Linked DNA regions of Macaca mulatta. The protein of the gene in region 5 purifies or fractionates together with the protein of the main gene of each other region. This does not show direct contact. Links are inferred from orthologs where the notes say so. Each region holds a gene or a part of one and is shown on either strand. Other genes may lie near its edges.

What was found.
Region 1: the proteins of NHERF2 (region 5) and PLCB3 purify together in Homo sapiens (co-immunoprecipitation; 3 studies listed by BioGRID and IntAct, with this or other methods). This does not show direct contact. The link is inferred for Macaca mulatta from reciprocal best matches to the Homo sapiens genes NHERF2 and PLCB3.
Region 2: the proteins of NHERF2 (region 5) and PRKD1 purify together in Homo sapiens (affinity purification with mass spectrometry; 3 studies listed by BioGRID and IntAct, with this or other methods). This does not show direct contact. The link is inferred for Macaca mulatta from reciprocal best matches to the Homo sapiens genes NHERF2 and PRKD1.
Region 3: the proteins of NHERF2 (region 5) and LPAR2 purify together in Homo sapiens (affinity purification with western blotting; 3 studies listed by BioGRID and IntAct, with this or other methods). This does not show direct contact. The link is inferred for Macaca mulatta from reciprocal best matches to the Homo sapiens genes NHERF2 and LPAR2.
Region 4: the proteins of NHERF2 (region 5) and ARHGEF6 purify together in Homo sapiens (affinity purification with mass spectrometry; 3 studies listed by BioGRID and IntAct, with this or other methods). This does not show direct contact. The link is inferred for Macaca mulatta from reciprocal best matches to the Homo sapiens genes NHERF2 and ARHGEF6.
Region 6: the proteins of NHERF2 (region 5) and PHLPP1 purify together in Homo sapiens (affinity purification with mass spectrometry; 3 studies listed by BioGRID and IntAct, with this or other methods). This does not show direct contact. The link is inferred for Macaca mulatta from reciprocal best matches to the Homo sapiens genes NHERF2 and PHLPP1.
Region 7: the proteins of NHERF2 (region 5) and KCTD5 purify together in Homo sapiens (affinity purification with mass spectrometry; 3 studies listed by BioGRID and IntAct, with this or other methods). This does not show direct contact. The link is inferred for Macaca mulatta from reciprocal best matches to the Homo sapiens genes NHERF2 and KCTD5.

The regions. Positions count from the first base shown.
Region 1 is NC_133419.1:10,147,053-10,151,145, forward strand, and holds the start of PLCB3 (1-phosphatidylinositol 4,5-bisphosphate phosphodiesterase beta-3), read right to left. Parts: upstream 2,801-4,093; 5' UTR 2,708-2,800; coding exon 2,609-2,707; intron 82-2,608; coding exon 1-81. UniProt on the Homo sapiens protein: Catalyzes the production of the second messenger molecules diacylglycerol (DAG) and inositol 1,4,5-trisphosphate (IP3).
Region 2 is NC_133412.1:102,740,786-102,744,285, forward strand, and holds part of PRKD1 (serine/threonine-protein kinase D1), read right to left. Parts: intron 2,108-3,500; coding exon 1,984-2,107; intron 510-1,983; coding exon 432-509; intron 1-431.
Region 3 is NC_133424.1:20,223,593-20,227,680, forward strand, and holds the start of LPAR2 (lysophosphatidic acid receptor 2), read right to left. Parts: upstream 2,801-4,088; 5' UTR 2,682-2,800; intron 2,560-2,681; exon of another isoform or gene 2,326-2,559; intron 1,953-2,325; exon of another isoform or gene 1,891-1,952; coding exon 1,149-1,890; coding exon of another isoform or gene 1,115-1,148; intron 1-1,114. UniProt on the Homo sapiens protein: Receptor for lysophosphatidic acid (LPA), a mediator of diverse cellular activities. Seems to be coupled to the G(i)/G(o), G(12)/G(13), and G(q) families of heteromeric G proteins. Plays a key role in phospholipase C-beta (PLC-beta) signaling pathway.
Region 4 is NC_133426.1:143,016,716-143,020,215, forward strand, and holds part of ARHGEF6 (rho guanine nucleotide exchange factor 6), read right to left. Parts: intron 2,237-3,500; coding exon 2,150-2,236; intron 1,362-2,149; coding exon 1,283-1,361; intron 270-1,282; coding exon 124-269; intron 1-123. UniProt on the Homo sapiens protein: Acts as a RAC1 guanine nucleotide exchange factor (GEF).
Region 5 is NC_133425.1:3,260,971-3,264,470, reverse strand, and holds part of NHERF2 (Na(+)/H(+) exchange regulatory cofactor NHE-RF2), read right to left. Parts: intron 3,297-3,500; exon of another isoform or gene 3,239-3,296; coding exon of another isoform or gene 3,158-3,238; intron 712-3,157; coding exon 532-711; intron 308-531; coding exon 108-307; intron 81-107; coding exon of another isoform or gene 6-80; intron 1-5.
Region 6 is NC_133423.1:17,915,867-17,919,366, forward strand, and holds part of PHLPP1 (PH domain leucine-rich repeat-containing protein phosphatase 1), read right to left. Parts: intron 3,310-3,500; coding exon 3,115-3,309; intron 463-3,114; coding exon 234-462; intron 1-233. UniProt on the Homo sapiens protein: Protein phosphatase involved in regulation of Akt and PKC signaling.
Region 7 is NC_133425.1:3,916,805-3,920,817, reverse strand, and holds the start of KCTD5 (BTB/POZ domain-containing protein KCTD5), read right to left. Parts: upstream 2,801-4,013; 5' UTR 2,774-2,800; coding exon 2,522-2,773; exon of another isoform or gene 471-2,521; intron 1-470. UniProt on the Homo sapiens protein: Its interaction with CUL3 suggests that it may act as a substrate adapter in some E3 ligase complex. Does not affect the function of Kv channel Kv2.1/KCNB1, Kv1.2/KCNA2, Kv4.2/KCND2 and Kv3.4/KCNC4.

The DNA.
Region 1 (4,093 bases), on a different chromosome or scaffold from region 5:
CACCATGTTGGGGCCTGTCCAGTACAAGAAGAAGCCACTGGGGTCCACACGCAGGGTCACCAGGTTCCGACTGGAGGTCTCCTGGGGGCGGCACAGGGCAGCAGGGGTCAGGGAGTGAGGGCTGTGGTGCAGGCCTGGCCCCTGGGGCTCTCCCATCATGCACCCCAGAGTTCCTGCCCGTGAGCTAAGACAAAACCTCATCCAGTCCACAGGTCCTGTGTGGCTGCCTGTGGCCCTCAGAACAAAGCCAAGGTCCTAGGTGTGACATTCAGTGTCACACCTGGAAGGGCTCCCCAGCCCCCATCCTGGACTCCATTTCCCCAGAAGTGCTGAGAGCTCTGTGACGGTGACAGCCCCCCTAATTCACCCCACTACAGAATGTTTAAGGCATGAAAGTGAGAAGTCTGACTCCCACTGCCCTTCTGCATCCCTTGGGATACCACGATGACCCCTTGGTCTGCCTCAAAGTCCACTATTCACCTTACCACATCTGCCGGGGTCCTCACAGCTTCAAAGCTCATCCCATCTTACAGAAGAACAGTCCCCCTAGAAGGGGACTCGCCCTACTCTCAGGACAGGGCAGTGAGCTCTTCCTCCCTCAAACAGCCCTGCAGCTGGCAGGGGGCAGGGAAGTGCATGCCAGCACCATTTTCTGAGAAGGGCCCGGTCCCTGGCAAACTCCCAGGGCCACCCCGTGTGACTCAGGACCAGCAGCCAGAGGGACTGTTCTCCAGGGCTTAGACTCAGCCAGGGCCAGACTGACCAAGTGGCTACAGGTAGAACCCTCCTATTCCAGGCTCTTCCAGCCAGAAAAGGACCCCACCTCATGTTGGGCACCACCCCTAAACAGCTGCTCAGTGTCTGGTGGACAATACTGTCATTATCAATACATCTCATATACACACGTCGCCCCTACTGCACACCGGGTACAGTTCTATGCACCTAGCATCTTCGAGCACACAAAGGCCCCCTAACCAGCCTAAGAGATGTGCTGTTGTCACTCCCATTTCACAGATGAGGACACTTAGTTACAGGCACACTTCGTAGCCTGCCCGAGGTCATTGGAGCCAGGACTTGCTTGCAGGCAGTGTGGTTGCAGCGTCCTGTGACCTGGGAAGCAGGGATCGGAGACTCCCAGCTCCTGGCCTCAGCCCCACCCCATTGTGGGGCCTGGGATAAGTCTCTGCTCTCCAGACCTCAGTTTCCTTTTCTGGAGAATGGGGATTGCAGCAGCCCCACCCATGGCAGGTTTTGCTTACAAAGTATGGGTGTTCATCTGGGAACAGAAGGGACAGAAGGCCTCAAAACTTTGGGGATGCATAGGCCTCCCCACTTCAGTGTGCTGACACCCAGCCCCGAGCCCCTCTCGGGATTCCCAACCCTACATTGAGTCTGAGGCCCCCCAGTGGTGTGCGGAGGGGGGAGGGGAGTCTATGGGTCCTGCCCCTCGGGTTTCCCCCCAGCCTCTCCCCAGAGGTCTGGCTCTCGAAGACAGCCCAGGACCCCTGCTCTCCTGCCCCAAGCCTCTGTCCGCACCCCCCACCCCACCCCCAGGGCCCTCTCCCTGTTCCCACTTCCTTATTTGGGTTTATCACAGTGGAAAGAAAAGAAGAAACTTTTCCCTTCAGGCCAGCCTGGGGGGAGGGGTCTCCCCCAGCCTCTGGAGCACCCAGGCACCCCTCCTCACACACCTGCCGCTTCGGGCCACGCCCCCATCTCCTCCCCCCAGCTCCCACGCCTACCCCGGGGCCCCACCCAGCCGGAAAAGAGCCCAGAGTCTTCCAGGCCCGTGGCCTGACTGGGAAGGAGCCGAGAGGAAGCTCAGGCCGGCCGGGTGGAGGCCCTGGGGAAGGAGAGGCCCAGGGGGCAGAAGAGGGGACCCAGGATGGGGATGGGCAGCCAAAGGTGGGGACACGGGCATTTGGGAAGCACCAGGGGCAGGACAGGGAAAGGGGGGCCAGGATGTATTGGGGTTCAAGATCCCAAGCCTAAGGAGTGGGGAGCAAAGTTCCCAGAGGTGGAGGAACTTGGGGGTCAAAGTCTTCCCTAGGGGGTGACTGGGTGCTCCCACCTGAGCAGGGAGCTGAGCTGGGATCTAGAAGCAGGGCGAAGGGGTGCCAACCAGAATAGGGGGAAAAATGATGAATGGACGAGGACTGTTCAGGCAGGGCACCGGGGAGAGTAGGGACGCCCTGGCACACACCCAGAATGAGGATGCCCCAAGCCAGCCTGGAGGTCAGGGTCCTGCAGCCGGGGAGTCTAGTGCTGGGCAGGGGTCTGGGGACCAGGCCAGGATCGGGGAACCAGAATTAGTCTGGCAGGGAGTGGTGGGAAGGGCGAATGAAAACGGGGGAACGGGGTTTATTGGGGTTCAAAGTCTCTGCGCCAAGGAGTGGAGCCCAGTTTTCCAGAGCTGAGAGACTGGGAGTTGGGGGGACAAAGTCTTCATTACGGAGACGATCGGGGACTTAAGTTTCCGGGGCGCCGCCAGGCTGGGATGAGGGTGGCGCCACGGGCAGGCGAGGCTGGGGTAGGGGTCCCCAGCGACTGGTCGAGCTTGACAGAAAGAGTCCCGGGATCGGCGCGGAGCAGGGGCCCGCACGCTTACCTCGTCCCATTTGATGAACTTACTCCCGCGCCGCAGGGTCTCCACCACGGTAGGCGGCTCCAGCTGCAGCGCGTGGACGCCGGGCTGGGCGCCCGCCATGGCCGGGCCAGGGGCGGGTCGGGGACCCACGGAGCCCTGACGGGGACTGACGGCGCCGCTGCTCCCACCGCCCGGCCCGCTTCGGCCCCGCGGCGTCAGTACCCGCCAGCCAGTCTGTCCCGGACCCACCAGAGCCTCGGCGGGGCCCGGGCGGGGCGGGGACGGGGCGGGGCCTCCCGGGCCCCGCCCCCTCCCGCCGCGTCGGACCCGCCCGCCCCGCGTCGGCTCCCCCTGGCGGCTGGGGCGGCGACTGCAGCCGGAGCAAGGATTGGGGCAGGGGCACGCGAACCGGTCGGGGGCTTTGCCGCGGGGCTCAGCAGGACCTGATTCTTCAGACCTATGGAGGAAGGAGGGTGCTGGGGGCCGAAGTGGCTGTTGGGGAGCAGCTGGAGGAACTGGGTGTAGAGGGCGCTGCTTAAGGCGGTCCGGGATCAGCCCACTGAGGTTTCTGAGCGACGGGGGCTGCAATACCACTGGAGAGCTGGACTTGGGCCGGGGGTCGCCGCAGAGCCCTGTCGCCCACCCTCTTCTGCCGCACTTAGCTGAATGCAGGAAAAGCTTCTCCCGCCCCCCTCTGCCCTGGCTTCGCCTCACCCACTCTTCTGCTGCGCGGTCCCCCCTCCCTGGGAGCACTTAGCCGGCTAATGGGCCTCCCGCCGGCAGGCGCCCCTCCCCCGTCCCTGGCCCAGGGAGGCCGGGCGCCTGCCACCTCCTCTGAGGACCCAAGCATCCTGGTCTTCGAGAGTGGGCCCTAGAACAGCCCCCTTCTTGTTGCCGCAGACTCCCATGACTGGAGCCTGACTGTGAGCCTCTTGGCTGGGAACCGCGGGGGGGACGCTGTTGTCTGCCTAGAGGGGTCAGAAGCTTTGCGGGTGTCCCCAGACAGGAGGGTTGAGGAGGGGCTCTGCAGTGCCTGGCCCACAGCAGGTGCCCTGAAATCTGCGTTCCAGGGATGGGAGCGGGGAAGGCGCATGGGCAATGGGATGGGTGGGGGCTGCAGCCCCTCCCGCAGGGCTTGGCTGGTGGGGGGGGTTCCTGCCTGGGGGCCCCTGTGGGAGCCCCCCCAATACAGAGGCAGTAACAGCAGCAGGTTTAAAGTAGAACTCATCCAGAGGGGCCAGCCAAGTCACCTAGAAACCCAGAAAGAGATGCAGCTGGCTCTGGGGGAGGAGGGGTCAGCGGAGGAGGCGCTCCCCTGCAGGCCCCTTTGCCCCAGGCTCTGAGACCCCCACAAGGACCCCTGCCTGGCCCTGGCCTTCCTCCACACCCCACCAAGTTCTCCATCAAGTCTAACCTAGCAGATCTCCTAGCTCTCAGCCCTGGCCTTGTGGGGTGTGATTACGATCTCCACTTGAGGCCCAGAGAGGGGAAGGGACTTGCCCAAGG
Region 2 (3,500 bases), on a different chromosome or scaffold from region 5:
AGAGGAAAGTGCTCTTTGTGAATACTGACAAGCATGGAGAAATCATACAATGTTTCTTCCCTCCTGGCAGTGTGCTAGATGCAGTGGATATCAGGAGTTTACTTTGAGCTTATCTGCTGTGACCATTAATTTTCTAGTTAAATCACACATCTTTGCTAAAATATTCATTAATCTTTGCCTCCCTCCTTCTCCCATCATTCCATGGTACCAGAAGCACTCCTTGGGGAAATGTAAAATTCACAGATGAATCAAGGGGTCCCAACCTGAATCCCAAGAAATTTGTAGACTGTAGAAAAGAAAAAAAAAATAGCTCCTGGAGGAAGCACAAAAATAGTCACGTTTGTTGGATGTATTTCCTATTTCTTACACTCTACATTCCCAAGAAAAAGCAGTAAGAGGTATGAAACTCCAAAGAAAGAGCCCCCTCTTACCTTGTAGTACCTGCTTCCTGTGTCATTTTGAAAGAGGGTAATACATTTGCTATCCAATCTCCAATAGTGCCGTTTCCGCTGAAACACAAGTTAGATCCAAGATCCTTTTTAAAAAACTTCAAAAATATCCACCATTAATAAAACAAAAAGATTTCCCCAATGGGGACATAAGATTTGAGAGTGGAAAGTGCATGGGCTTTGGAAAAGGCAGACTCATGCTCAATTTCAGGCTCTGGAGGCTATTTAGCCACATGTCTGATAAGTATCTGGATTTATGTTACAGGGTTGTGAGTAATAAAGAAGATGAAGTATTAGCACCCAATAAGAGCCTGGCATTTAGAAAGTGCATAGTAAACAGAAAACATCATTTTTAAGCTTATTTCACTGCATGAAGGGCTAAAGGCAGATGTATAGTTTATAATAAAATAAGGTTTACTAGGAGATGCAATGTTTATTATTATTATTTTAGGACATAAGAAATGCCATGCTGATGGAAACAGGTATTCTCACTTCCATTGGCAATGGGCAAATTCTGAATGTTAGAGTAGAAGTAAAGAATATTTTGCTGGACAGTAAGTTTGACTCCATGACATCAACTTAAAGTCAGGGGAATGCATCAAACAACCAACTCTACCTTCTCTCCAGCTCACTAGAAATCTAACCACTATGATTTGGTGATCAGGTCCTTCTTCACTGTAGGTATATTTTTCAGGATTTTAGGTTGTGTGTGTATTTTTATCTTATAAAAGACCCCAAAGCTCTATTCTGCTCTTCTTCTCCACAACCAATTTCAGGCCAGTCAAATATATTAAATATATTACATCATGTCTAAAAAGAACTAGGAGGTATTCAATTGAGCCCTATAATATCAGGTAAGTCTTCTCTCTCTAACAGAGATGGTCAAAATTATAGATAGATCAATTAGATTATAGGTGTCTGCTTATCTGTAGTGATCCTTTAGGTAAGAGATGAGAAAAGCAATACAGTAAAATAAATCAGCCAATTGTCAATTTAACTTTGAAACGTGAATCAAGTTGTTCTCTCTTATGTACACACACAACTTCATTCATCAACTATTAAGAAAATCTGGAGACATGAACACTCAGGATACAGGCTTCCAATGTTCCTGAATGGGTCGGTTCTTCAGGGAAAACTCAGTTAAGGACTTAGGAAGTATAAGATAGTTATCACTGTATTATTCTCTGCCTAGAATGCAGTATTTCTTATAAAATTCTAAATTGCAGTGGAACGTTCTGAAAGCACATACTGTGGCTTCCACAAGTACTATAAAATGGCAGGTAGACATCTCAGGTAATCAAGGTCAATGAATTTGTTTGCCTGAAATTGCTTTCCACATTTTTTCCTAACTCCATTGCTTGCTCAACTACATCTGACACCCTGAGACTGTAATGCACCTTACCTAATCCTGTGTCATGCCTGTGCTGAGGTTTACTCTGAGTAATGAAGGCATCTCACAGCCCTCACAGGACATTAGCAACTCCTCTAATTAAAGCTAGCAAGGCAAGAGAACATTGTTCCCTGTGGATCTTACCAGCGTGTCCTTGCTGGTGTAGTGGACCATCCATCCTTCTTTCATGACTGTGCTGCTTTTCCTCTTCGTGTGTTTGACAGACTGCACTACTCTCATGAGTGGGATATTGTTGCTTGTTGATGGACTTGAGAAGTCAAAATATTGTAGGAGAAAAATGTTTTCAGGTACATTTTATGTATTTTCATGCATAAAACCTTATGTTAGCTAATCCAAGTGAAACTTTACAAAAATTCACATCTCAATTTTAGTAAAACATATTGTCAGGCACCATGGTTCTGAAAGTGGGTTACTCTGAAGAGTGATAGGCACTTCATTTGTACACCTTAAAAAATCCCGGCCGGGCGCAGTGGCTCACATCTGTAATCCCAGCACTTTGGGAGGCCGAGACGGGTGGATCACGAGGTCAGGAGTTCAAGACCAGCCTGGCCAAGATGGTGAAACCCCGTCTCTACTAAAAGTACAAAAACATCAGCCAGGCATGGTGGCGGGCGCCTGTAATCCCAGCTACTCCAGAGGCTGAGGCAGAGAATTGCTTGAACTTGGGAGGTGGAGGTTGCAGTGAGCCGAGATTGCGCCACTGTACTCCAGCCTGGGTGACAGAGCAAGACACCGTCTAAAAAAAAAAAACCCAAGGCTGGGTAATAAGCACCTCATCTTTTGGGTTGAAATATATGGTGTTCAGTTTTCAGGTCAACCTGAGGAAGAATACTTCTTAGTCTACTGAGGCCACACTATTCAGACTCACACATGAAAGCTTATTTGCTTATTTATTTCCTATTATAGGTACATTATCAATCATTTAGAGATTACATTATTCAACATGAATTTTTAGTTTCTCGCATAATGTCATAATAATTGGAATCTGCTAGTCTCTGTTTCTTCCTCTCTTCATCCCTCCCTCCTGGTCCCCCTCCCCACAACATGAATATATATGTTATTTCACCCACTTCTCCCACCCCCCACCATGCAAACTCTTTGGCACTAAAGAAGTGTATGTCTTCAAAAGACAGGTCATAAGACAATTATTTCCCACTATTTTAAAAATGTTCATTATGCCATTAAATGGAAAAAAATCATTTCATTGCTCTACTCTCATGAACAATTTCTGTTTGTCAATAAACATGGCATTTGTAAAATGGACACAAAAATTTCAATAGGCTTTATGATATAAATCAGAGACTAGGAAACATTTTCTGTAAAGGGCCAGGTAATAAATATTTTAGTTTTTGCAAAAGACCTAACTTTACCAATATAGTGCAAAAGCAGCCAGAGACAATATGAATGGGCACGGCTATGTTCCAATAAAACTTTACTACAAATTGGGCAGCAGTCCAGTCTGTCCTGGTGGCCACATTGTGCTGACTCCTGATATAAAAAGTGGGGATCATCCAGTAACCAAAAGCAAAAATTAGATAACAGATATAAAATTGCACATACTTCTGAAATAATATCAAGAACAGTGAAGTATACAGAGACTATGATATTTGTAACAGGGGCCAGCTAATAAAATAGATGAT
Region 3 (4,088 bases), on a different chromosome or scaffold from region 5:
CAGACCAGCCTGGGCAATATAGTGAGACCTCATCTCTACAAAAAATAAAAAATTAGCCAGGTGTGGTGGCACATGCCTGTAGTCCCAGTTACTCAGGAAGCTGAGGCGGGAGGATTGCCTGAGCCCTGAAGGTCGAGGCTGCAGTGAGCTACAATGGAGCCACTATAGTCCAGCCTGGGCAAGAGTAAGACCCTGTCTCTAAAAAAAAAAAAATTTCGAAATTTAAAAGTATGGGCCGGGTGCGGTGGCTCATGCTTGTAATACCAGCACTTTGGGAGGCCAAGGCGGGTGGATCACAAGGTCAAGAGATCGAGACCATCCTGGCCAACATGGTGAAACCCCATCTCTACCAAAAATACAAAAATTAGCCAGGCGTAGTGGCATGCACCTGTAGTCCCAGCTACTCAGGAGGCTGAAGCAGGAGAATCACTTGAACCTGGGAGGCAGAGGTTGCAGTGAGCCGAGATTGCGCCACTGCACTCCAGCCTGGGTGACAGAGCGAGACTCAGTCTCAAAATAATAATAATAATAATAATAATAATAATAATAATTTAAAAATACATATAGATTAAAAAATAATTTAAAGGCTTTTTGTTAAACCAGGCTTAGCACTGCTAAAAACTTTTTTTTTTTTGAGATGGAGTTTCAAAAAACTCCACCTCACCTGGCTAATTTTGTATTTTTAGTAGAGACGGGATTTCTCCATGTTGGTCAAGCTGGTTGCCAACTCCCAACCTCAGTTGATCCGCCCGCCTCAGCCTCCCAAAGTGCTGGGATTACAGGCGTGAGCCACTGCACCCGGCCAGCACTGCTAAAAACTCTCAAGGGCTTCCCACGAAACTCAAAATATGACTCCTGTCTGTGCCCCTTAAGGCCTTGCCGAACTCTCCTCCTCACAAGCCCGCTTTCCTCTTTAGAGGCTCTGGCCTGGTACTGCCTTTAGGTTTTTACTTTGTTTCCTCTGCCTGGAACTCTCTCTGTTCCTATCCTCAGCATTCAGGCCTCTGCTCATATATGACCTCCCTGGAGAACATTCCCCACCTAAGTCTTCCCCCTATCACCCTCTATCAGGTAGCTTGTTTTGTTAATTGCTTCGAAGCGTCTTGTGGGAAACAGGGGGAAGCAGGGTGCCTGAGGGCCCCACTCACCCAGGATGATGACGACAGTCTTGACCAGGCTGAGCGTGGTCTCTCGGTAGCGCGGGTGGCAACTGACGTGCTCTGCCATGCGCTGCACTCTCCGCCGCACGTAGAAGAAAATGCGGGTGTAGACAGCCACCATGAGAAGAAAGACAAGCAGGCTCGACAGAGCCCAGACAGCCAAATAGGAGCGGCTGAGCAGGGGTGCCATGCGCGAGCAGCGGTCCAGGGCACAGAGGCAGTGCCAGGAGTGGGCGGGCAGCAGCCCCAGGCCCAGGGCAGCCACCCACACGCCCACAATGAGCATGACCACGCGGCCACGGGGCAGGCGGCTGTGCAGCTGCACGGCCATCACACTGCGGTGCCGCTCCACAGCGATGGCCAGCAGTGTGGCCACCGACGCAGTGAGGCTTGTGTCCAGCAAGCCCTGCCGCAGGAACCAGCCCTCAAGTGAAAGTCGGGCTGTGCGGGGACCAGTGTGGAACATGAGGAAGAGGTAGGCCACCCCCGCGAAGAGGTCAGCTGCGGCCAGGTTGCCTAGCAGGTAGTAGATGGGCTGGTGGAAGCGGCGGTTGGAGGCGATGGCTGCTATGACCAGGAGATTGGTGAGCAGCACCAGTACGCTGACGGTCAGCCCCAGTGCCACCACGACCACATCCTTGGGCCGCCAGTGAGAGCTGAGCTCCTTGCCACTGTTGTTATAGAAGAAGCCAATGGTCTCGTTGTAGTAGCAATGGCCCATGGTGACCATCTGGGGACACAAGAGATCAGTGCATGTGGCGCTTCTTGGAAGGACACAGGGAGGGGCGGCAGCTACAGAGGACAAGGAAGGACAAGGGTCTTGAATTCAGATGCCTCAGAGCAAAGTGGCAGTGGTGAGGACCACGGTAGCCTGGAAAAAGCAAGCTCCATGGGGCTGGGGTGGGGGTGGAGGAGCTGCTGTTTCTTACCTACTAATAAGACCTGTGTCAAGACATAACCCAAGTCAACAGGGTTTTGAACCAGAAGAAGTGAAACAAAACCCATGTATGGTCGAATCCCAGCCCACCTGCCGCCAATGTGTGACCCGGTTTGGGCTGTAGGGAGAGGCAAGACAAAGGGGTGTGAGCTGCGGGACGAGATGAGGGAGGGTCACTTAGGTGCTGGAGTCAGTGTGGGGAGCAGAGACCCGGGAGCATGTGCCCACAAGAGTGAGGTCACTTGCTAGGACCCTGCGAGGGAGCGTTGCCGAGGCGTGGAGGTGATCAGAGTGGACAGAGAGTCGGTCCCAGAAGTTGGTCTGCCGGATTTGGGCGCGAGTGCTTCCCAAGCGGGCGGGGCAATAGGCTGTTCCGGGTGGGACGGAGGACACTGGCGGTCTCCGGGACAAAGACAGCGGTTGGGGAAGGGACAGCTGGCCGGGCCTCCAGGCGTCTCCAGACTGGGGAAGGGGTAGGGGGTTAAGGGATCAGGGGGCTGCGTCCTGGCCCCGCAGGCACGTGCCGCGCCCTTCCCCCGGGCCCAGGCCCGCACCCGCCCGCCTCCCGTCCGTGCCGGCCTCACCTGGGCCTCCCGTCACGCCGCAGATAAGGCGGGCTCGCGGGGGTTCGGGGCGGGCTCGAGGCCCATGGCCCGGCGACCGCGGCGGGAGCGGTGGAGCGTCCGGGTGCGCCCTGCGTGGGCTGCTGAGAGGGCGCGGGAGGCGGGGTCTCCCCGGCGCCCCGCCCCTGCCACCTGGGGGAGTCCCGCCCCGCCACCTGGGGGAGCCCCGCCTCCGCGGCCGCGTCGGGGGCGGTGTCGCCCGGAACCGCAGCCCCCCTATTTCCTCCCCGCCTCGCGGCCCCTCGGTCGCCTCTATTTCCGGCGCGGGACCCCCACCCCGGTCCCTGCACACCTCACGCGCCCGCAGTTTCGAGCCTGCGGGGCTGAGTCACCCGGCGACCCCAAAATTCCCGCCGCGACTCCGCGCAGCCCGGGCGGAGCTCCAGGTGGTCTTGGGTCCGCGCCCCTTCTCCGGACCCCCAACCCTCCCAGCCCCACCCCGCTCTCTTCTTCGTGTCCAATGGGCCGCCGAGTTACAAGCCACTCCCTGATCCGACTTGGCTCCCACCGCCCGGACCCCCGCCCATCCTCGGCTTTCCCAGCTCGCAGCTACAGCGCGCCGCGGCCTCCTGTGCGAGGCCCACGCCTGCGGCCCCAGCTGATCATCGGGCGCAAGCTAGGGTTTTGCAATCCCGCCCCCGTACCCCTCACCCTGGGACAGCGCTGCCCCCTGCAAAGCCCGGCCCTGCCCTGCCCTGTGGCTTCCTCCCTCCGCCTCTCTGCGGCGGCCCCGGGCTCCCACGGTCCGGAGCACACAGCCCCATTGTCCCGGTTATCTGCACTTTGTTATACTGTATTTGATTATGCAGGACCAGATCGGGGACGCAGAGCTCCGGGAGGGCCGGGCTGGCGTGACTCAGCCGGGTGCTGCGGCCCAGCCCCAACTGCCTTTAGGTAGATGCTGCAGGGTGTTTGATGATGCAAGAAGGAGGCCTTGAGGCCGGGCGCAGTGGCTCACACCTGTAATCCCAGCATTTTGGGAGGCCGATGCGGGCGGATCACGAGATCAGGAGATCGAAACCATCCTGGTCAACATGGTGAAATCCCGTCTCTACTAAAAATACAAAAAAATTAGCTGGGCGTGGTGGCGTGCGCCTGTAGTCCCAGCTACTCGGGAGGCTGAGGCAAGAGAATCGCTTGAACGCGGGAGGCAGAGGTTGCAGTGAGCCGAGATTGCACCACTGTACTCCAGCCTGGGCGACAGAGAAAGACTCTGTCTCAAAAAAGAAAAAAGAGGTCTTGATTCCCGTGATCGGTAAAACGGGGGAAAGGAGTGCTGCCCGTGCTGGCCTCTCCCCTAGCAGAGATGCACCCAAGGGCATACAGGACAGAGTTTATTAGAGGCCATCAGACCCCAGGCACCACCAG
Region 4 (3,500 bases), on a different chromosome or scaffold from region 5:
CTACAAATATAGGCTGCCCAAAAGGCTGAGGGTGTGCTTGTTGCTTCTTCTAAATAAGTCTCCAGCAGGCAGGAGTTGATGAAAGACTCAATAATCTCTGGACAGAACACATGGACTACTTACGGAATGAGCACTGCATGATGACGATGAGGTTTTGGATAATGAACTGCAAGAAGCAGGTCCTCTGATCAGTCTGTTCAGCTGCTCTAACCATTCCTGGAAGTCCTGGTTGTTGTTGCAATGGACCACAATTCTCTCCACCACGTTACCTACATCCCCCAATTATGATCAATTTGAAAACAGAAGGCAAGGAAAAACTTGAGCTTCTCCCATTCATAAATACACTTCATGCAACTAGGACTTGGGTGTGTATTTTCAGGGGTTTTCATACCTATGGGATAACCCTGTTGAAATTTCTACAGCAGAAACAGATAACCTGTGATGATAAAGTAAATAAATATTCATGTCTGATTTAGAAAACTGTCCTTGATTTTTACTGCTTACAGAAGCTTAAAAGTAGTGTAAAACTTCACTATATACAAACTTGCAATCCAAAAACGTAAGTACATAGTCCATCTAGTTAAGTCTAAAGTGGGAATATTGTACTGGTTCCCCCAGTATCAATGTTGGAACAAGATCCAATTAAGACTATTTACAACCTTTTGGCAAATACTAAACCTTAGGCTCCTTCTTGGGAAAGAAGAGGGTAAGGCCATGATCCCAGTCTTAGCCACTGTGCCATATCAGCACCAACAGTGAAGCCACTACATATAAATGACACAGGCCTGGCAAAAGGGATCATAAGCTAAAATGTCAGGGAGAATTACTGAAGCCTGGCATTATGCTCAATTTGTGAAGAAAGTTTGATGTCTTTTCAGAACTTTTTAGAAATACAACCAAGTCTTACTAACTCATGGGCTGATGATAAAATTGCTGATAAAAGTCCATATCTTTGGCTCCTCTGCCACCAGGGAACAAATGACAGAAGGGAAGAAAATTGCATTTACATCAGTCCATTTTGTTATTCCTTAGCTCTCACAAGTAGCTCTTATGCAACAGAAGATTGAAACTAATGGCAAAGCCATGGCTTTTGAATGAGAGGAGACTTCTCTGTGCTATTGCTGTACCCTAATTATCCCAGGAAATGGAATATACTTTGCCATGCCTGCGTAAAATTTGCTCGTGGCCTATGTAACTGAAAATAATGGCATTTATTTATTAAATTCCCCTTCATTCCAAAAAGAATTGGAAGTAGTTACATGAAAAAGAGAAAATTACCTACCAGTGATTTCAAATGTGCAGTCATTCCCTTCAATTTCATCTAATCTAGTCACCACCGTTCCTGCTATTGGTATTTTTCCCTATTAGAAAAAGAACATTCTCATTAATTCTGCAGTCATACAGGTCTCTGTTTATTTCACTTAGATTTGCTGACCCTCTCAGCACTGCAAAATTATGGCTAGACGTATTTTTCCACTATGTCAAGAGCAGATAATATGATTCCCTGTTCTAAATTTTAATCAGACTAAGAAAGCAAGGGGAAAATGTGGATTGTGTTTGGCTAACACACCCTAAACTATAAGATCAGGATTTACAAAGCAGTTTCCTTTTCTAATATATTTTCATAAGAATCAGTAAAAAAAAGTGAAGGCTCAGATGTTATAAAAACTACTAATTGTCAGGCCAAGATGTAACAGGCAATAGTAACTTATAATGCTCTATATCTTGGGAGTTGACTGAGGGACGTTTAATTTCCTAAGGAATAACATGCTTCTTTAGAAGCCTGAATCATGTGCTGTGACTATAATAAGACAAACATAGGAGCAGGTCCCAGCTTTATGTTTTCTCAGCAATAATGACATGGGCCTGTACAATACTGCTGCTAATTTATCTAGTTTCCATTTATGCATGCAAAACCTAGTGCATAACTAAAGCGGTGGATATATTCAAGATAAACTCATTATACTAATACAAAGGTCTTTGATCTAAGGAACATCTGCTCTTACAAGCTCTTTAATTACAATGAAGGGTCAGAACATTCTGGTTCTCCTGGCTTGAGCTTTTAATGCCATAGTGGAGATACTGCATCTGGATGGAAACCTGTTTTCATTAGCGGGTCTGCTATGTGTTTTATGTGAAATCTACTAACCTGATAGATAAAGCCACTCATCCGAGGACTTGCAGATAACATTATCAGGACATTTGAAAATAACATAAGGTACCGCTCCTCTTTTTCCTGAGAGAGAATGAACAATAACACATGAAGAACAGAATTGGACATTTTATCTGTTGAAAATTTCTGGAATCACTGCCTTATAACATAGACCTTATATAAACAACTGAAACGTTAACAATAATTTTTTTAAAAGATACCCAACTTGAAAACATAAAACTAGTTGAATTTTACTTTGACATGGATATAAACCCACAGTTTATCACTCTTCTTCCTATACATAACAATTAAATACAAATAACCATGCTTGCTTTCCATGTATGAAAGCCTGAGGAGTCACCACAGTTTATGCAGCCAGTGAGATGTGCTAGACCTGGGCACAAAATAAGTCTCCAGGTTCACAAAATGAAAATATGTTTTACTTTGAAAAAATGGCAAAATGAAGGGGTTTTCAGGTGATAAGAAATTTAGTATGCTCTAACGTGTTAAAGTCATATTCATAAAATTAACTTTAGTCATTAAGAACAAGATAATTATTGGATTTATGTAAAATGTAAAAGTAGATACACTTTTTTTTTTTTTTTTTTTTGAGATGGAGTTTCGCTCTTTTTGCCCAGGTTGGAGTGCAATGGCACAATCTCGGCTCACTGCAACCTCCACCTCCCGGGTTCAAGCAATTCTCCTGCCTCAGCCTTCCAAGTAGCTGGGATTACAGGTATGTGCCATCACTCCTGGCTAATTTTGTATTTTAGTAGAGATGGGGTTTTTCCATGTTGGTCAGGGTGGTCTCAAACTCCCGACTTCAGGTGATCCACCCACCTTGGCCTCCCATACACTTTTTTAATGGCACTGAGGAAACCTCGACACATGAGGGCTGCTGTGAGCCCCTTCAACAGATATGCAATTAGTATACGCAAAAATTACATTTAGCTTCCATGCCCAGTCATCTTAGCTGAAATTATCCTTATGCCTGTCTCCATCTCCTTCCTTCCATTTGAGAAGAGCAACCCTTCCAGGCTAACTATTCTAACAAGTGCTCCACATTCTCTCACATCTTTGTCTCACTTAGTTTTCCTCTACAGACATCTCCTCTTCTTCTCCCAGCATCCTCTTCTGTTTTACTAGCTTTTCCTCTTTTTCTTTAACATATGTACACCTCCTATCCTAACAGACCTTGGCTTGCCCCCATGTGGCTCTTTATGCATAATATCCCATTTCTTGACATTTTATTGCCAAATTACTTGCTGCCTTCATTTTCTCTGCATTGATCCATCCCTAACTGCACCCTCCTTGCTCTTGCAAAGTCATCAATAACTGCCTTCTAGCA
Region 5 (3,500 bases):
AGCACTTTGTGTCTCGTGGGCACCCCACCCTCTCACCTGGACAGGGCTGGTTCCGTTGGTCACGGGTGATGGCAGAGGACCTGTGGGGACAGCGTGTCAGTGGCTACTCGGCCACCACACCGCACCCACCCTGTGCCCCGGGCCGTGGCCCACCTTCCACATGCTCCTCGGTGGGTGTGACCCGAAGCCGCTTGAAGTGCTCATCTGTCTCGGGGTCCACCACCAGCAGCCGGGCCTCATCCTCCCGTGCCTTGATGCTGGCCACCACCTCAGCGTGGCGCAGCCCCTCCACATTCTGCCCGTTCACCTGCCGCCACCAGCACGCATCAGCCCCGCCGTGGGCCCAGACAGCCCCCAGTGCCGCGTGGCCAGGTGTGGCATCAAATATTCATCACAGCCACCGCCCGCCGAGGCAGCAGGAGGCGCACCAGCTCAGGTTCCCAGTGTCTCCCTCCTCCCTGCAAGGACCCAGGGCCCCAGTGTGGACAGGCATGGGGCCCCCAGCACCCTACAGCCCTGGTGGGCCGGTACCTCAATAAGCCGGTCCTGGGCGCGGAGGCCAGAGCGGGCAGCAGGTGAGCCCAGGTCCACCGAGCGGATGTACTGGCCGGGCCGGGACTTGTCACTATGCAGGTTGAACCCATAGCCCTGAGGTCCCTTTCGCAGGTGGCAGAGCCGAGGGCGCAGCTCCCTCAGGGGCCCACTGACATCCTGCAGGCCCAAGGGACAGGGTCAGTCCCTGGCTCCAGCCTCCCACCCCCAGAGGCCACTCCCTGGTGGTGCCGCTGCTGCCCAGACTCGGTACCATGCCACCCACGGGCAGGCCCAGGTCTCAGTGGCAAACACTCCGGGCACCCAGGCTGCCTGTGACAGAGCTTTCGTTGTGGGAACTTGGGCAAAGCCAGTTTTCAAACCCAGAAGCCTCCCCGATGGGCCCAGCCGCCTTCCTGGGTCGCTGGGATAATTCCCTGGGCTGGAGGCCAGCGCGGCACACGGGCGGGGTGGGAGAGAGCACCAGGTGGGAAGAACTGTCACTGTCGGCCTCCTGGGGCAGTTGTCCCTGAGGGCCCTGCCCGTGCGTCCCCCTGCCCCGGGCTCTCCTCCAGAGCGTGGGGCAGGCGCTCCTAGGCCAGCAGTTTTGTTTTCTCTCCAGAGGCCTCCGTGAGGCTGGCTGCGGTGGCGGCTCTGTTTGCTTTCACATTCCGGGAAAACGAGCCGCACCACCCCCGCGGGCCCAGCACGCAGAGGCTGGGGCAGGAGATTAGAGTGGACAGGGCACAGAGGGCCTCCTGGGGCCCGGAAGGACCCCCCCGCTACCATCCCAGGCCCTGCCCCATGTTACCTCTGGCATCCTGCAGTGGGGGTCTGGGCCAGGGGACCATGCAGGCAGGGCCAGGCCCAGTGACCAGCCCCCAGCCAGGGGCCAGGCCAGGGTGCCGCGGCGGTGGCCAGTGGCTGCCTGTGCTCAGTTAAACATGGCGGGGGCCGGAGCAGGCGGGGGGCAGGCTCAGGTTTCCAGGGAGTGCCAGGCTTGAGGGCGTGCGCAGGGGAGAGCGTGCAGGCGGGGTGGGGGGCTGCCAGGGCCCCTCCCTCACCTCCTACCTCCCTGTGTGTCCCTGAGGGACCACAGGCCAGGCCAGGGCTGGGGCGGCATGGCAAGAGGGGCACTCAGACCTCAGGAGGGCAGGTCTCCAGGCCTTAGACACCCCCAACCCCTCCAGCCACCCACCTTCGAGCTCACTCCAAACCCCAATGGACCAGAAACAGCCATGTCAGTGGCGGGGGCCGCCCTGCCAAGGGAGCAAGGGGGTCCTTCTCCACAGGGCTAGTGCCCTGTCCCCTGGGCTCGGGACCTGCCCTTGGTCTGGAATACCCTTCTCCTGTCCAGCCCGCCAGATGCCTCGTCAGGAGCCTCCTGCCCACCCTCTGAACCCTCTCTGCATGGCCACAACCCAGGCCCTATCACACCAGAAACTCCAGGGACAAGGCTGTGGCTCCTTGGCCCTGCAGGGGCTCAGCTGGGTCACATGGAATGAATTGGAGGGTGCAAGATCCCCAAAATCTCCAGGGCCCCACCACATAGACCCACCCCTCCCCCAGACACACCTGGTGGCACAGGCATGGGGCTTTGAGGCTGACCCTGACACCTGCCCACCGAGCTGCCCCTCAGGGATGCAGTCAGAGCACAGTGCTGAGGCTGGCCTGGGAGGGAGGGAAGATGTGGGGACAGGGGCCCATTCAGGAGGGGAGGTGGAGCACAGCCCCCAGGCTGGCCTGGGACTGAGGGAAGGCATGGGGACAGGAGCCTAGTTCAGGGGGGGAGGTGGGAGCATGACATGGGCCCAGGTGGTAAAGACACGTCACACGGTCACAGACACAAGACGTCCAAACACACCTGCAAACATGCATAGCCGCCCACACATGCGGCCAGCCCCACAGTGCTGGCCCGGCAGCCCTTCCCACGCCTGCACAGCGGCCTACAGGGCAGGGTTTCTCAGGGCACCAGACAGGAAGCAGGATCTGGTGGGTGTCTGGGGCCCTGAGGCCAGGCCAAGGCCCCCTCAGTGTTCTCAGGGTCACTCTGGCCACCCCTCTGCCTCTGTCCAGAAACAGCCGTCTTTCACTCTACACGGCGAGAAGTTCTGCCTATCATCAAACCCCTCATTGTCAGCAGGGTCTCGGAGGCGCCAGGCACAGCACTAAACCCTCAGGTGGAGGGGCCGCAATGGAGGGGCCAGGGTGGGCTGCTGGCAGCACATGGGGCGGAGCATGGGGGCCCAGAGAGCTGAGGAGCTCGGGCGGGGTTCATAGCTCACATTCCTCCTCCCTGCCCTGGCTCAGCACACACTTCCTGCCGCCTTCTGCCAGGCCCTCTGGCTCCCACGGGCTCTAGGCTCCCTCCCCGCCAGTGGCCAGCACAGAGCTGGACCATCCCTGGTCCCCCAGCCATGCCTGTGTCCGGACAAAGAGGCTAGCATGGGGGTACACTGGGCGCCCCCCCAGATGGTGACGCACCAGCCCTGGCAGAGAAAGGCCTTCATTGTTGCTCAGGGACCAGCCTGCTTACATCAAGTTCCCGGAGTCCCTTCCTCCCACCCCGGGAGGCTGAGCGGCTGCTGGTTCCTCCTAGCCCTCCCTTCCTCCCACCCCACCTGACCTGTACCAGCCCCTGGGGTGGGCTCCGTGGAGGGGCTCCTGGAGCCCGGGCAGGTGGCGTGGCACTCCCGGAGCGCGCCATGGCAGCGGTACAGCGGCAGTGAGTGGCAGGCGTCCGGCCGGGGTGGCCTGAACTCTCTGGCTGACCCAGGCTGCCACCCCACTTATCTACCTCCCTCTGCGGCCCCGGCTCCCCGGGGATGGGTGGAGACGCAGGGGCTGAGTCACTCTGGGGAGCAGGGTGATGACTGAGCCCACTCCCCTTAGAAGGCTCCAGCCCGGCGCCCCCCACCCAACTAGGTTTCCGTCCCAAGAAAGGAAGGAAGGAAGCTGCTGGAAGGCCC
Region 6 (3,500 bases), on a different chromosome or scaffold from region 5:
GGAATGGGATCGTGCCCACGAAGCACGCAGCACAGTGCCTGATGCAGAGAGGCAACTGACAAGCATACGTCATAATGTAAGACATTTGCTTTGTGATACTATGGGTTTGGAATTCTAATGTCGAACCGACTTCAAAAAGTGTTCTTTGAAGGCAAATGCTCCCTAGCTAGTTTCTGCTATGATCTGGTCTCCTCTCCTCTCCACCATCCTGGGGAAAAGCCCTCTTTTCTCACCTCAGTGATAATGGCCTTGTGCTGTTTAATCCTCTTCAGCTCTTCTTCACAGCTCATGATGTAAGATCTGGACAGAGGCAGTGGCTTTCCATTTCGACAGAGAACTGTTTGGCACTTGCCCACATTAGCAGAGGTCAAGGTGAAGGATCCTCCTGGGTCCACAGGGTCATGCTTGATATGACAAAGGACAGCGGCACCACCAAGCTTCTGCCCAGCAGTTCCAAGTTTCCTGGAATCCGAAGAGAGGGGGTGACACTCAAACACAGTCCATCAGTGCCAGTTCTGCAAATTCAACACGAAGACTGCACCACTGGACAGGGCCAGGAAGGAGACCTCTGGGGATTCCACTCCGCTTCCTTCATCAAAGCACACACTGCTCCGCCTCTTTGATGAAAAGAGCCCCGGAATCCGACGCCACACACATCCACACAGAGAGGCTCACAACTGGGAGACAGTATCACTGTACCACTAAAAGCCACAGGTGCTGCTCTGGAAGGCAGATGCCCCTGGGCTGCTGTATACAGCCTGTTACCCTCGTCAACCACGCTGCCCTATCAGCACACTCCAAAGACAGCAGGAAAATGACTTCTCTCTCTCTCTGCTTCTCTAAATTCCCTCTGTCCACAGGAGAGGAACATTGAAACAACCATGCACATAAGAGCAGGTATAAACACCCTACCTCACTGGCAGGCACACGTCAGAAAAACCTGACAACCCTCTCCCCCTTCTAAGGATGTTTGCTGGTAGGAGCCTTTAAGTATTGGAGTGTTCATGCTCCTGCCCTATATAGTAAAAACTTTCTGGCCCAGTACCCTCTATTCTAGAAAACTCATAGAAAGGACATTCTAGTAATCGAATACCAAGTGCTTGTGATTTATCTTTTTAATCATGACAATTAATCCACAGACTTATCAAATATAGGAAGCACCTGCAAATTCTGAAAATCAAAAATCAAAAACCCCTCTTACAAAGCTACTTGTTCTGGCAGATTATCAAGGGAGAGAAACGGCAGAGAGGGACAAAAGACCATTATTGCTCCCATGGCCTCATGAACTCCTATGGCAAGCCCCACAAATGGTAACACCGCCCAGGCCCCTGCTGTTCCTGAGTGGCACAGGAGCAAGAAAGTTAAGAAAAACAGCCTCCTGTTTTACAAGGCCAGACCCTAAGGTACTGTCTGCTACTATCACATGTGTAAGGTAAGCAACTGGCAAGAGGAGCAATGGAAACCAGGGCTGCCTACTTGCATGCATTAGGAAATCCTGCACAAAGACCAGTTCCCCTAAGGACCCAAAGCTCACCACACAACCCATACCCTCTTAACAGATAGGGAAAATAAGAGAAACACAAAAGACCCTGGAGAAGGGCCGACAGTTTAGGCTCCTAAACTCCAACTTTCAGGTATTTGGCTCTAGACCTTTCCAAGGCAGCTCCATTTTCTCCCTTTCCTAGGCACAGTGATTCGTAAAAAGTATGGCAAGTAATCTGAGATTGGGGTTCTCAGTGTTTAATTCTTACCAGTGCTTGAGGGTGCATAAAAAGCAGACCTCTTGGGGGTTGTGAAGGGATGTGTTTGTGCTTTGGTCTGTGTGCACATGTGTATGTGTGTGCATATGATACATGCTAGATGTTTTTCTAGAACAAAAGGGTGGTAAAACCAGGAAAGCTGATGTGCCTGCTAGTTAGAACATCCTCTGGAGTCTTACAACCCGAGGTCAGGTCTTGGCTGCACTACCTACTAGCCCGTAGGCACTGTGCTTCACCTCTCTGTACATGACTTTCAGTAACATTACTCCGCTAACTGGTAACAATTTATGACACATAAGGTAAAATTTAGAACAATGACTGGTACATATTAAGGGCTTGCTGGATATTAGTCATTATTGTTCAATTGCTAATTGTACATGCTCACTGAGAATCTGAAAGTCAGAGGTGACTGTAGCAGCAAGAACCACCCCAGGCTTGCCTCCACCAAGCTCTCTGAGAGGAACCATTTGAGACGCAGGTATCACTGTAAATGCTGCTCTGAACACTCCTCCCCAGACACTTCTTCTACCCCCTTAACAAAGCTACTTGCTCTGGCAGAGTATCAAGGGAGAGAAAGAACAGATAAGGACAAAAGACCATGACTGCTATCATGACCTCAAGTACCAGTACGCTGATCACTCCTGGGTCCCACATGAGCGAGTCTGCAGTACAATATTTATAGACAGGCAATTCCATTATCACCTAGAAAGCCATGAAGGTGATAAGAATGAACAATTCTTTGAATGAGGGAATCCTCACTCATCTAAGAGTTACAAACAATATACCACAATTTCTATAGCAACCTAAAACTCTGCTGCTGGTGGAAACTCCAGGCTATGGCCTAGGATTCTGCCAGTAACACTGTCTTGAACATTTAATAAAGGGGAAAACAAAATATAAAGAATGATTTAACTCCTGAGCTAAAATCTGACCATCTTGATTTAACAAAGGCTTGCACTACCTCAAACCAGTGATAGTATTTCATAAGGGCCAAGAAACTAGGATAGAAACGGTCCATTTCAAAGAGAGGTCCCCACACCAGAAAGTCTAAAAAGCCTCCAGAGCTCACATGATTTGGGAGGAAAAATGGCATTGCAAACAATCTGATGAAAATCTGCAATCAATAAAGGCCAGTAAGGTCCAGTTCTCAGAGAAACTAATTCCTTGTCATTGTCGGAGCCTTCCACAAAGTTATATGAACATCAGTATGTCTCAAACTGGAGCACCATTCCTGATGCCTGGGCAACACCAAACTTGCCTGAATGCATCTTGGTACTCATAGTCAAAACACAGAGGATAAACACTCAAAGAGCAAAAAAACATACAGCAGGTAAGCAGGAACTCTGAGTTTTACCTTTGCATGACAATGAATGTATTGACCATGTATTCTTCTTCATTTTTTGTTTTTTGCAGCTCTTCAGCCAAAATGTCACTCATGGTGCACTGGAGAAGGTAGGGCACCTCCACATTCCGGTCTCCATCAAACACACCGTAGAGGGCTTCGCGGTTGTCACAGAAGTTATTCACCGACAGGGCTGCGACACACAACCTGCAAGGCAACCACACTTCTGTGCTGAGTCCACTCATCCTCCTGCTCCAGGCCCAGCCCAGTGCTTATTTATTTCAAGATTTCCCTATCTCAGTTTTGTCTCTTTCTTTGTGACTCCAGACAGATTAAGGGCAGGTAAACTGACTCCAGCTAATTTCTATCAGCAAATTTTGATTAGCAGAGAAGGATGA
Region 7 (4,013 bases), about 660 kb from region 5:
TCAGGATTTAATTAGGAGGAATCTCCTGGGACATTCTTTCATCAGAGCCACAGGAGACAAAAACTAAGATGAAGCATTTTACACATTTCCTCATTTGACGAAAAACACTTTAGTATTGGGACTAATATGAATTAGCACTACACTTCTGGCAAATTATCTATCACTAAAACTAACCTTCACTACAATTATTGTTTATTTATTATTATTTTTTGAGACAGTCTCACTCTATTGCTCATACTGGAGTGCAGTGGCGCAACCTCAGCTCAATGCAACCTCCACCTCTCGGTTCAAGCGACAGTCCTGCCTCAGCTTCCCGAGTAGCTGGGACTACAGGCACGCGCCACCAATCCCAGCTAATTTTTTTGTATTTTTAGTAGAGGCAGGGTTTCGCCATGTTGGCCAGGCTGGTCTGCAACTCCTGATCTCTGGTGATCCACCCGCCTCGGCCTCCCAAAGTGCTGGGATTACAGGTGTGAGCCACCATGCCCGGCCCCTACTCCAACTATTTTATGAGACAGACTGTACTGCTACTTTACCTTCATGTTCTGAGTTTCAGTTTTACCATTTGGAAATCAAACCTGGTTAAATGGAGGATGATGAAAAGAGCAAGTATAACATAGATATATTCGGAAAGATTAATTATCCCTTCCCCAAAGAATTGATTCCTACAGTAAAGTTGTTTTTTTTTTTTTTTTTTTTTTTTGAGACAGAGTCTTGCTCTATCGTCCAAGCTGGAGTGCAGTGGTGTGATCTTGACTCACTGCAACCTCGGCCTCCCGGGTTCAAGCGATTCTTCTGCCTCAGCCTCCGGAGTAGCTGGGACTACAGGCACCTGCCACCACGCCCAACTCATTTTTTGTATTTTGACTAGAGACCGGACGTCACCATATTGGCTAGGCTGGTTTCCAACGAGATCCACCTGCCTCGGCCTCCCAAACTGTTGAGATTACAGGCGTGAGCCACCGAGCCCAGCCCATAATTTTTAACAAAATCTTAAGGAACTGTAAAATAAAGGGATGAACCACCTTAACTGTGCTAAAGTTAATCAGCTCTCAATCAAGTGCTCCAGTGCTGAATAGATAGACATTGCCTCAAAGAATCCAATGAACAAGAGCAATTTAAAATCTAATTTCACATACAAAACAGGAACGCTTGAGTAGAAAGGCAAGGGAGTGACCACTAAGCCCTGCTATTTAAAAAGAAAAACCAAACAGTAAAACATACACCCACCCTTATGAAAGGAAAATCACAGCTAACAAAAGCCTATACTGTCATTTCCTGGGAGTCAATTCTCTGAGGAGACGGCTTGGTCAAATGAGCAATGGAAACAGTTGGAAGTTGTGGGGAGAGTCAGGAGTGTTGGCATCTCAAACCCTCATTTCTACCCACAAGGCGGCCTTAGCAGTAACTCCAGATTCTCTTTTCCTGATCATGGTCATGCCATGCTGAGAATGGTTTCAGTCAGGCTTCTCAAACTTGAAGAGGGATCCGAGCCTTTCTGGGAAGGCTCATGCATGGCAAATGTTGGCTGCCACGGCACAAAGCCAAGTGCAATCATGTAAGCTCAACTGACAGACCCAGCAAAGTTAGTGTAAGGCTTGTGAACTGCCTTGAAGAAACAGGCAACATCTTCTTCAAACACGCTTTTTTTCTAAGTTTCAATCCTGCACAACTCCCAAGACACTCTTCCTCGGCTTCACAACTCTTAAAAAAGGTAATAAAAGGTTTCTATTGCCATCTGCCCAACAGCATGAGCATTTCGCTTGATGAAAGACAAGCGGCAAACTAACCTGGAAATTCCTGTCTTTTTGCGAAGACAGTGAGAAAACTAAGCTAATCAGAAAGCAGACTGAAAGATTCCCTACCTGGCTCTTCCTGGACAACCCTAAAGCAACCCTTAACATGAGCAAAATTCCCTTCGAAAAGTCATACTATATACTACGGACGCATCTTCTAAGAGGTGCTGAGTGGGTGATACGTGCTGTGGATGGAGAGGATGGAGAGCCAACTCTCTAAATGCAAGTCACCGGGAAAAAAAAGGGCCGCCCATGTCAACCCCCGCGCCAGCGTTAATTCAAACGTCCAGAATGTGAAAGGACAGAGCAACGCAAGGGTTCTGTTTCCAGAGCCAGCAAGTATCCTAGGACAGAGAAGAGAAGGCGTTCACACACCCTGGGCAAAAGAACCTACTGAGAAAAAGAAAGTAGAATCACAGCAAAGTCCAGGATCTGGGAAGCCTCCTCCACCGAAAAGCAAAGAGGGCGAGGAAGAGACACCCCAGGGTGAAGCGACTCAGGATCCTCCAAAGCAGTGGACTCCAGGGCGCCATCCTCGTCCTCCCCTCCCAGAGTAGGGGGTCGGGGGAAGCTGGGGACGAGCTGGTGACAAGGGATCGCGGGGCTCGAAGCCCGAGGAGAGTCGCCCGCTCCCGCTGAGGTCTCCTCTGCACGAAGCAGAACGTGTGCGGTAGCCGCAGGCCGGGATGGCCAGGACCTTCCGGGCTGGCCCGCGCGGCCCTCACCTTGTCCGAGTCCAGGTCGGGGTCGGCCTGGCACAAGCGGTACAGGAAAGATTTCGGGTCCCGGCACAGCGTCTGCCTAGTGGTGAGGAAGTAGGTGCCGCCGACGTTGAGCCGGACCCACTTGGACACGCTGCCGGGGCGCTGGGCAAGGGCGCCGAGCCCCGCGCTGCAGCGACGGCACAGGCCGCCACCCAGCCCCGCCCCGAGGCCGCCCCGGGCCGGCGGCAGGAGCTCGCAGTGATTCTCCGCCATGATCCCAGCAAGCCCCGCCACAGCTCCGTTCCACCGGAAGCGTCCGGCTTTTAATAGCGTCCTCCGAGTTCTGTCCCGCCCACAGGTCCGCCCCGGTAGAGCGCCCGCCCCGGCGTCACGCGACAAGCGGAAGTTCCGGTCCGGAAAAGCAGGAGGCTAGGCCCGCTTCCGGCGGGAGCGGAACCGGCGTGATCTGGGCGCCAATGCTGACGGACTGCGGCGGCGACCTGCCTCGCTTTCCCAAAAGCGGGGTGAGCGCCTGACCCAGACCCTAGCCTCTACCCACACCGTGACCCCAGCTCATGCACCGGTCGAAGGAGGAGCCACACCAGCAGACGTCTACACTCTACATGCTTTTTATTACAAGACTACCGAATATACGAGGAAAATTGATCATCTGGTAACTACCCCTGAAGGACAAATATTTGGGGGGGAAAAAAGAATAAACAGATTCATTAAATGATATGATTAAATCATTGACCCAATACAAAATTTATATAATAAGGGCAGGGCCTGGTAGCTCAAGTCTGTAATCCCAGCACTTTGGGAGGTCCAGGCGAGCGGATCACGAGGTCAGGAGATCGAAACCATCCTGTCCAACAGGGTGAAACCCCGTCTCTACTGAAAATACAAAAATTAGCCGGGCTTGGTGGCGGGCGCCTGTAATCCTAGCTACTCGGCATGCGGTGGCAGGAGAATGGCGTGAACCCGGGAGGCGGAGGTTGCAATGAGTTGAGATCTCGCCACTGCACTCCAGCCTGGTGACTGAGCGAGACTCCATCTCAAAAAAAAAAAGGAAGAAAATTTATGTAATAAAGTCAGAAAAAAGTTTTAAAATATAGTTTATAGTAATTGTTCACATTTAAGGCTGTACCTCTATGCATACAACAACGTGGCCCCGAACATGAATTCAATCCATATAATTCGTATATTAGAATTTAGGCCGGGCGTGGTCGGCGCAGTGGCTCACGCCTGTAATCCCAGCACTTTGGGAGGCCAAGGTGGGCGGATCACAAGGTCAGGAGTTCGAGACCAGCCTGGCTCGGTGAAAGCCCCTGTCTACTAAAAATACAAAAAATTAGCCGGGCATGGTGGCACCTGCCTGTAATCCCAGCTACTCGGGAGGCTAAGGCAGGAGGATCAGTTGAACCCGGGAGGCGGAGGTTGCAGTGAGCTGACATCGCGACACTGCACTCCAGCCCCGGCAACAGGGAGACTCCGTCTCAAAAAAAAAAAAAAA